Linked DNA regions of Oryctolagus cuniculus. Each later gene encodes a partner of the first gene's protein in a complex. Links are inferred from orthologs where the notes say so. Each region holds a gene or a part of one and is shown on either strand. Other genes may lie near its edges.

Region 1 (3,804 bases):
ACTGCTCACCTCTGCGGGAGCAGGGTGCTCTGGAAGCGATCTCAGGAGGAAGGAGAGAGACACAGTGTGGTCTGAGAGAGGGTTGGGTTTCACCCAGAAAGTCGACTGGTGGAAAACAGGACAAAGCACATGGATGTCAGACCCACCCAGAAAGTCCAGTGCTTGGATAGCAGTCGTCCTGCGGAGAAAGAAGACCTGTGGAGAGGGGAGAGGCCCCTGGCGTATTTCCAGAGAATTCCCAGAGGGAGCAGCCTGAGTTTCCACGTGGAAACACCCTGCACATGGTGGACATGGACCCCATGGAGTGCTGATGTGAGCAGTGACAAAGGGGAGCCACCAGCCTCCAGGAGGTGCAGGGGCCGGAGTGGCCTTGATCTCCTCCGGCAATGTTGCAGGAAGGAGGCAAGGGAGCGGAGAGATGAGTCACAACCCAGATTTTATACCCAGCCAAACCAGCTGCTAGACGTTAGTCTAAAATAAAGGCATTTCCAGGTGTGAAGTTCTTGGAAACAGTGCTCAGCTGTCTTCCTCAGGGAACTGCTGGACAAGACTCAGGGAGCAACCGCAGAGGGGCTGTACCTGGGACAAGGCCAGAAAGTTGCAGAGGTTCAGGCTCCTGCCACACACCTGGGTCCAGACTGGAGCGGGAAAGAAGGTTCTGGAAGACTTTCTCATGTGGGTGAGACTGATGAAATACTGAATGGATCAGAGAATTGTCTGTTATAGCATTTAGGGTTGAAATGATGACAAATACCCAGAAAACGAAGCAAACGGAAACAGCACATCACCTGGGAAAACCAGAAAACACATTGGAAATGTGACTGGGCTGAATGTCTGTCTCAGGGGAGACCAGTGTCTGCAGGTGCTGGGGGCACAGCTCCAACCCCCAGAGCCACATTGGCGAGGAGCCAGGGGAGACACACAGGTGCAGGTCACATGGGCCCCAACGTCGGGTTGGGAGAGAGGCCGAGGAGAAGGCTTGGGACAACACTCAGCTTTGAAAAACGGCCATGCCCACTGAGGTGGCCTCTATGTGCAGGAGCGACTTTGGTACAAACAAGGATGTTTAAAAAAAAAAAGCAATCAGGTGGATGAGTAGTGCATTCGCCTGCCAAGCCAAAGGGCAGTGTGGGGCCTGGGTGGGTCCCTGGCCATCGCCTGCATCTCTGTCACCCAGCTGAGTGACAGCACTGGATCCTTAGTGCTCTGGGGACCATATGAGGTCAACCTGTGTGCACTGGCAGGCACAGGTGTCAGCCGTGGGCCCTGTGGCTGTGCAGGTGCAGGTGTCGGGGCACTGCAGGCACTGATAAGCTGGTGCAGGTCAGTCAGGGGCAGGGGCTCCAGGTAAGCATGCAGGACCTGGTTCTGGACGTCAGTCAGCCCTTGGGATGTCTGGACTTTGAGCTGTCCTGTGTCCTTCCTGGAAGAGTGGGGTCAGAGGTGGCTCTCGGTGCCCGTCCTGCGCCTGCCTGCCCCAGCCCCACACCTGCTGTTGTGCTGTGTGCTGTCCCCACTGCCCTGGGTGTGAGGGGTGGGGCAGAGCAGGTGCAGGCCCTCGTGTGGAGTGGGCTCCTTCACCATGGGACACTGGCCGCGTCTGGAGGCGTTTTTGATCCTTGCAGCGGGGAGCAGTGCTGGACAGGGAGAGTGCACAGGGCGGACCCCGAGTGTGCCCTGGCCCCACGTGTCAGCAGCACAGGGCTCCTGGCATCGGGGCTGCAGTGAGCGCTGGGTGAGGGCAGCTCAGCGGCTGCCCTGAGCTCACTCTGTGCGCGCAGGGTTCATGGCCCCCGAGCTGCTGCGCAGTGAGGAGTACGACTTCTCCGTGGACTACTTCGCCTTGGGGGTGACACTGTACGAGATGATTGCCGCCAGAGGACCCTTCCGGGCGCGAGGAGAGAAGGTAGGGGACTGCGGTGTGGCTGTGGGTGGCCGCCCCGGCACTGCTGCTTCCAGGCCTGGGGGTGAGGGGCACATGCTGGAGGTGGTTCCTGCCTCCATGGTGACTCCCCCACGTCTGTGGGAGAGGCAGCGGGTCTGGGGTCCTGAGGTCTGCTGTGGGGTTGCCCAAGCCTCACACCCTCCTGCCCAAGGCCAGCTGTGGCAGGAGCTACACCTGCAGAGAAGGGGCTGTCTCTTGGCTTCCTGCTGTGGGTTCTGGGCAGCCTGAGGGGACTCGGTGACTCAGCTGTTGTGGCTGCAGGTGCCCAGCAGGGTCGGGACAGGAGATTCCTGGGCCAACCCACAGCCTGGCTACCGTCAGATCCATGTCCCCAGGTGGAGCCTCATGGCTCCCCAGCGGCTGCTCTGTGCGTCCTGGAGGGAGGTGGATGTCCAGTGGGCTGCACCTGCCCTGTTATGCCCGCTTTGTGCCCTTTCTGTTCTGTCCACCTGGGTCTCCATGTTGCCCCAGCCCTGGCCCGGGGAGCCCAGAACCACAAGAGTACACTGGGGGTTGGGGGGAAACCAGTGTTACGTTCCAGGCAAACAAGGCAGCGCTGGCTTCTTCCGGAGCAGACGCTGACAACCAGCAGGGCCTTTGGAAAGGCTGAGCCGCTGGGGCCTCTGCCTGGCGGTCCTGCCCACCAGTCTCTTCCTCCCTGAGGTGGGGGTCCCAGCCCCTGAGGCCCCACCCTGCTCCCCCCACGCAGCTGTCGGAGCGAAGTGCGTTCCGATCTTCCAGGAGCTGGCACGCTCGCTGGACTCTGACAGCCGTGCTGTCCTGGACGGGCACCGAGCACAGGGAAGGGGGGGGCTCTTGGGTGGAGGGGTGTGCACAGCCTGGACTCCCCAGGTGCCGTTGCTGCTGCACACGGCACGCCCCGGTGGGGCTTGTGGCTGTGAGTGGTGCGCACTGGAGCCCACTGGACAGACGTGCGCCTCTGAGGCCGGGGCTGCGGGGTCTGACAGCCCGTGTCTGCCGCGCAGGTGGAGAACAAAGAGCTCAAGCAGCGCATCCTGTCGGAGCCCGTCTCGTACCCCGAGAAGTTCAGCGCAGCCAGCAAGGACTTCTGCGAGGCACTGCTGGAGAAGGACCCCGAGAAGCGCCTGGGCTTCAGCGACGGCTCCTGCGACCGGCTCCGCACCCAGCCCCTCTTCAAAGACATCAACTGGAGGCAGCTCGAGGCTGGTACGGTTAATGCCCAGGCCTGGGCCGGGACCCCGGGAGCTGTGGTCCTGTCACACGCCCCAGACTCCTGGGCCAGGACCCCAGGGGCGGTGGCACCACCACATGCCCCAGACCTGGGCTGGAGACTTCAAGAGCTGTGGTACTGTCACATGCCCCAGACCTGGCCCAGGACCCCGGGAGCTGTGGTACTGTCACACACCCCAGGCTTGGGCTGGGACCCTGGGAGCTGTGGTACTGTCACATACCCCAGGCTTGGGCTGGAGACTTCGAGAGCTGTGGTAGTGTCACACGCCCCAGACCTGGCCCAGGACCCCGGGAGCTGTGGTGCTGTCACATACCCCAGGCTTGGGCCGGGACCCCGAGAGCTGTGGTACTGTCACATGCCCCAGACCTGGCCCAAGACCCCGGGAGCTGTGGTACTGTCACATACCCCAGGCCTGGGCTGGGACCCCGGATCTGTGGTACTGTCACACGCCCCAGGCCTGGCCCAGGGCCCCGGGAACTGTGGTACTGTCACACACCCCAGACCTGGCCCAGGACCCTGGGAGCTGTGGTACTGTCACACGCTCCAAGCTTTGGCCAGGACCCCAGGAGCTGTGGTACTGTCACACACGCCAGACCTGGGCCAGGGACCCTTGGGAGCCACCCTGCCTGTGGTGAAGATGTTGGCA
Region 2 (4,266 bases), on another chromosome or scaffold:
AGCCTGGGGGCCTTGGAAGGTCAACAGCTTCGAGAAAGGCCCCACTCTGCTTCTTGGTGCTAGCACAAGGGGAACCAGGAAGTCAACCGCAGCAGCTCACAGCAGCCCCTGAGGTGGATGGAAGTGCAGGTGCCTCTCGGAACTCCTTTGGCTGTCCTGAGCCCTGGGCAGCCGGAGCAGATGGGACGGGTGAGTGCAGAGGGTGATCCACTGCCTGCCCCCTCTAACTCCCAACACACAGGGGACAGAGCTTCAGGGCCTTGGGAGAGTCCACAGAATTCATCAAGTCCTCGCTCCAGCCCCAGGGGGGCTACAAGGCTTCCTGCTGGTGACACAGGAGCTTGGTGTCCAAGCCGGCACTAGAACCCATTACTTCTGGCTCCCAGGCCAGTGCTCCGCCCATGACCTTGTGGTCTGGTGCACCTGGCACAGCTTCAGCCGCTGACACCTTCTCTCCCTCTCCCTCCCTCCCTCCCTTCCTTTTATTCCCTCCTTCCCCTCAACTCCCCTTCCTCCTCCTTTCTTTAAGGAACCCCAACTTTCAGCCTCTGCTGGCTTCCACAGCATCATTTAAGCGGCTCTGAAGTCTTGGTCCCATCCCCAGCCACCCAGACACCCCCACTGACAGGTGAAGGCAGCTGGCTCTGTAGACTAAGCCCAGCTGACAAGGGCTGCCCTTAGCAGGAGGCCCAAGCCCAGCACTGAGGAAGACCACAGGCTGCCGGATTTTGATTTTATTTCCAGTTCCTCCTAATATGGGTGAGAGATGTCTACAGATGACAGTGTGATTACAAATGCACACGCAAAAAATTCCTAAAATATGAAACACATCCCTCTTTCTAACAGGAATGGAATTGGGAAAATAAAGCAAGTGCCAGGGGCAGGAGGATTAAAAAGAATCAGGGAAGATATACTTTTAGAAGATGGAACTATTACTGATAGAACAGGGGAAAAAAATCAAAGCATCCTGATGTCCAAAAATATAGGCGTGTTTAACCTTGAGGCATTTCCATCAGATGGAATTCTAGGCAGCTACTGAGAATGCTTTCTGGGGGTGGGTATTTGGTTAAGGAGCTGATTGGGACACCTGCGCCCTATATTGGAGTGCCTGGGTTCGAGTCCCAGCTCTGCTCCCAATTCCAGCTTCCTGCTAATGCACACCCTGGGAGGCAGCAGTAGCTGGGGCCCTACCGCTCATGTTGGAGATGTGGACTGAGTTCCCAGCTGCCAGCTCAGCCAAGCTCCAGTTGTTTTGGGTATTTGAGGAGTGAATCAGCAGATAAAAGCGCTCTCTCTCTCTCTGCATCTCTCCCTTCATCTCTCTTGAGTAAATAAGTAAATAAATAAAGATCTGTCCTTTAAAAAAAAAGAGATTTATTCTCCGCCTGTGGCGTCAGCATTCCATATGGGCGCTGGGTTCTAGTCCCAGTTGCTCCTCTTCCAGTCCAGCTCTCTGCTGTGGCCTGGGAAGGCAGCGGAGGATGGCCCAAGTCCTTGGGCCCCTGCACCCACGTGGGAGACCTGGAAGAAGCATCTGGCTCCTGACTTTGGATCAGCGCAGCGCACCAGCCGTAGCAGCCATTTAGGGGGTGAACGAACAGAAGGAAGATCTTTCTCTCTGTCTCTCTCACACACACTATCTAACTCTATCTGTCAAATAATAATAATAAAATTTATTTATTTATTTATTTATTTTGAAAGAGTTACAGAGAAGGAGGGAGAGACAGAGACAGAGGTCTTCCATCTGCTGGTTTACTCCCCAGATGGCCAAAATGGCCAGGATTGAGCCAGGCTGAAGTCAGGAGCCAGGAGCTTCATCCAGGTCTCCCATATGGGTATCAGGGACCCAAACACTTGGGCCACCTTCTGCTGCTTTTCCCAGGCCATTAGCAGGGAGCTAGATGAGAAGTGGAGCAGCCAGGACACGCACTGGTGCTTATATGGGATGCATCAGCCTTACCAGCTACACCACAAAACTGGCCCCCATAAAAATCCTTTGAAGAATATGTAAACACTCATGATAAAGGAGTAACTGAAAAGCTGTGATAAAAATCATACGTGAATATAACTTTAAAACTATTCAAAACTATAGAGATAAAATGCCAGAAAGTTACATGCCAGTGTACTAAGGGTAGTTTTCTCTGTATGCTGGAGTTAAAGGACATTATGATTTCTGTGTCATCCGTCTCTAAATTTCACAAATGATTTAGATATCAGATACAAACTCTTTTCAAGACACTTAAAATATCCACAACAAACGCTTGGAGGATAGGACAAGACAAAGGAAAAGACAGATAGGAAGCAGCCGGAGGCAGGTGCCCGGGCAGAGCCTAAAGCTGAGAGAGAGAGGAAGAGAGAGAGAAAGAGAGAGAAAGGAGAGAGAGAGAGAAAGGGTACACATCAGAATTACCCAGATTCTGATTCAGGAAGAAGATGTAGCAGGGGACAGCGCCCAGCCCCACCCCCTACATGTGCGTGCTGGAGCCCCCTCCCTACCCTGCTCTCCTAGCCTTGGGCCTGCGCCCCTCCCTTCACCCCCAGGGCTATAGCCCAGCTGGCTACAGCCACGGGCAGGGCGAGGGCTGCACTCACCATGACGATCTCCAACACTTCGTTCTTGCTGATGGCGCCGTTGCCGTCCACGTCGTACAGGGAGAAGGCCCACTCCAGCTTCTGGCTGGGCTTTCCCGCCGTGGTCATGTGCAGGGCGATCACGTACTCCTTGAAGTCCAGCGTGCCATCGCTGTTGGCGTCAAAGCTGCGGAACACGTGCTGGGCATAGGCCTTGGGGTCGGCATCGGGGAAGAACTTGGCGTAGATGCTCTCAAACTCCTGCCGGGTGATGCGGCCGCTGGGGCACTCCTTCAGGAAGGATTGGTACCAGGTGCACAGCTCTTCCTCCGTGAACTTGGTGTTCAGCTGCAGGTCCTCCAGGATCTCCTTGGACAGCGCCCCGCTCTTGCTGTTCCCCATGGGTGAGGCTGGGTGGGCGCCGGGCGGGCTGTGCGTGGTCTCCCGGCTGCCGGGGCTTGGCGCTGTGTGAGAAGGAGACGGAGACGCTGAAGGATTAGGGGGATTTGCGAACAGTTCATCCCACTCTTTGCAGGGGGGAGGGTCTGGCAGGCTGGTCGTGGGGAGGGGGAGGGTCTCCAAGAACTGTTGGGATTAAAATAGGGGATCCGTTCATTTTGGCTTCCTGGAGGGTAGACAGGAAGAAGGTGGGAACCGTGGGAGACGACTCCAGATTTCTCTGCGTGGATGATGTGGCCTGCTTGTCTTCTGCACTGACTCCGGGATCTTAGGGGCCGCGGTGGGTCCTCATGTTGAGCCCCATATGCAGTGGTTAGGGGCACAGGCTCTGGGGCCAGCACGTTTCCTTCTGGGATGCCCTTCTCCGAATGCTTCGCTTCAGTCTTGGCTGAGATGGCACCTTGTCTGAAGGGCCTGGACTGACTGCTCTGTGTAAGTAGCACATCCGCCCCTAAGCTCGCAGCGTGCCCCAGACGGCGCCCACACCAGAATGCCAGCCTCGTGGAAGGGGCGGGCGTTCGGCCTAGAGGTGAAGACGCTGCTTGAGATGCCCAGGTCCCTTACGGGAGTGCCCAGGTTCAAGTGCTAGTTCTGGCTTCTGACGCCAGCTTCCTGCTCATGTGCACCCCGAGAGGCAGCAGGCGATGGCTCACATAGTTGGGTCTCTGCCACCCACATGGGAGACCTGGATTGAGTTCCCAGCTCCCGGCTTCAGCCACACCCAATCCTGGCTGTTGTGGGTGTTTGGGCAGTGAACTGGCAGATGGGAGCTCTCTTAATAAAAGGGAGTGTGGGGGGGGTTGCATCTCCATTGCTAGAATGCCAGGAAGGCTTTTGTCGGCAATAAATATTTGTTTAAAGATTTTCTATTTATTTGAAAGACAGAGTTAGAGAGAGGTAGAGACAGAGAGAGAGGTCTTCCATCCGTAGGTTTGCTCCCCAGATGGCCACAACAGCCGGAGCTGTACTGATCTGAAGCCAGGAGCCAGGGACTTCTTCCAGGTCTCCCATGTGAGCGCAGGGGCCCAAGGACTTGGGCCATCTTCTACTGATATCCCAGGCCATTGCAGAGAGCTGGATCGGAAGTTGTGCAGCTGAGACTAGAACTGGTGTCCATATGGGATGCCAGCGCTTCAGGCCAGGGCTTTAGCCTGGGGTGCCATAGCGCCGGCCCCTGCAATAAATATTTCTCTAATGAATGGGCATTTAAAATTTTTTTAATTTGAATGACAAAGA

The links.
Region 2: the proteins of GRK1 (region 1) and RCVRN are in contact, whole or in part, in an NMR structure (PDB 2I94), measured with the Bos taurus proteins. The link is inferred for Oryctolagus cuniculus from reciprocal best matches to the Homo sapiens genes GRK1 and RCVRN. Residues at the interface, in NP_776598.1 of Bos taurus: Phe3, Gly4, Leu6, Glu7, Val9, Val10, Ala11, Asn12, Ser13, Ala14, Phe15, Ile16; in NP_776590.1 of Bos taurus: Lys22, Trp31, Ser34, Phe35, Glu38, Cys39, Phe49, Ile52, Tyr53, Lys55, Phe56, Phe57, Tyr86, Leu90, Thr93, Ser94, Phe188, Glu189.

What each region holds. Positions count from the first base shown.
Region 1 is NC_091440.1:431,771-435,574, reverse strand, and holds part of GRK1 (rhodopsin kinase GRK1), read left to right. Parts: intron 1-1,781; coding exon 1,782-1,906; intron 1,907-2,931; coding exon 2,932-3,133; intron 3,134-3,804. UniProt on the Homo sapiens protein: Retina-specific kinase involved in the signal turnoff via phosphorylation of rhodopsin (RHO), the G protein- coupled receptor that initiates the phototransduction cascade.
Region 2 is NC_091448.1:54,159,921-54,164,186, forward strand, and holds the start of RCVRN (recoverin), read right to left. Parts: upstream 3,066-4,266; 5' UTR 2,974-3,065; coding exon 2,593-2,973; intron 1-2,592. UniProt on the Homo sapiens protein: Acts as a calcium sensor and regulates phototransduction of cone and rod photoreceptor cells. Modulates light sensitivity of cone photoreceptor in dark and dim conditions.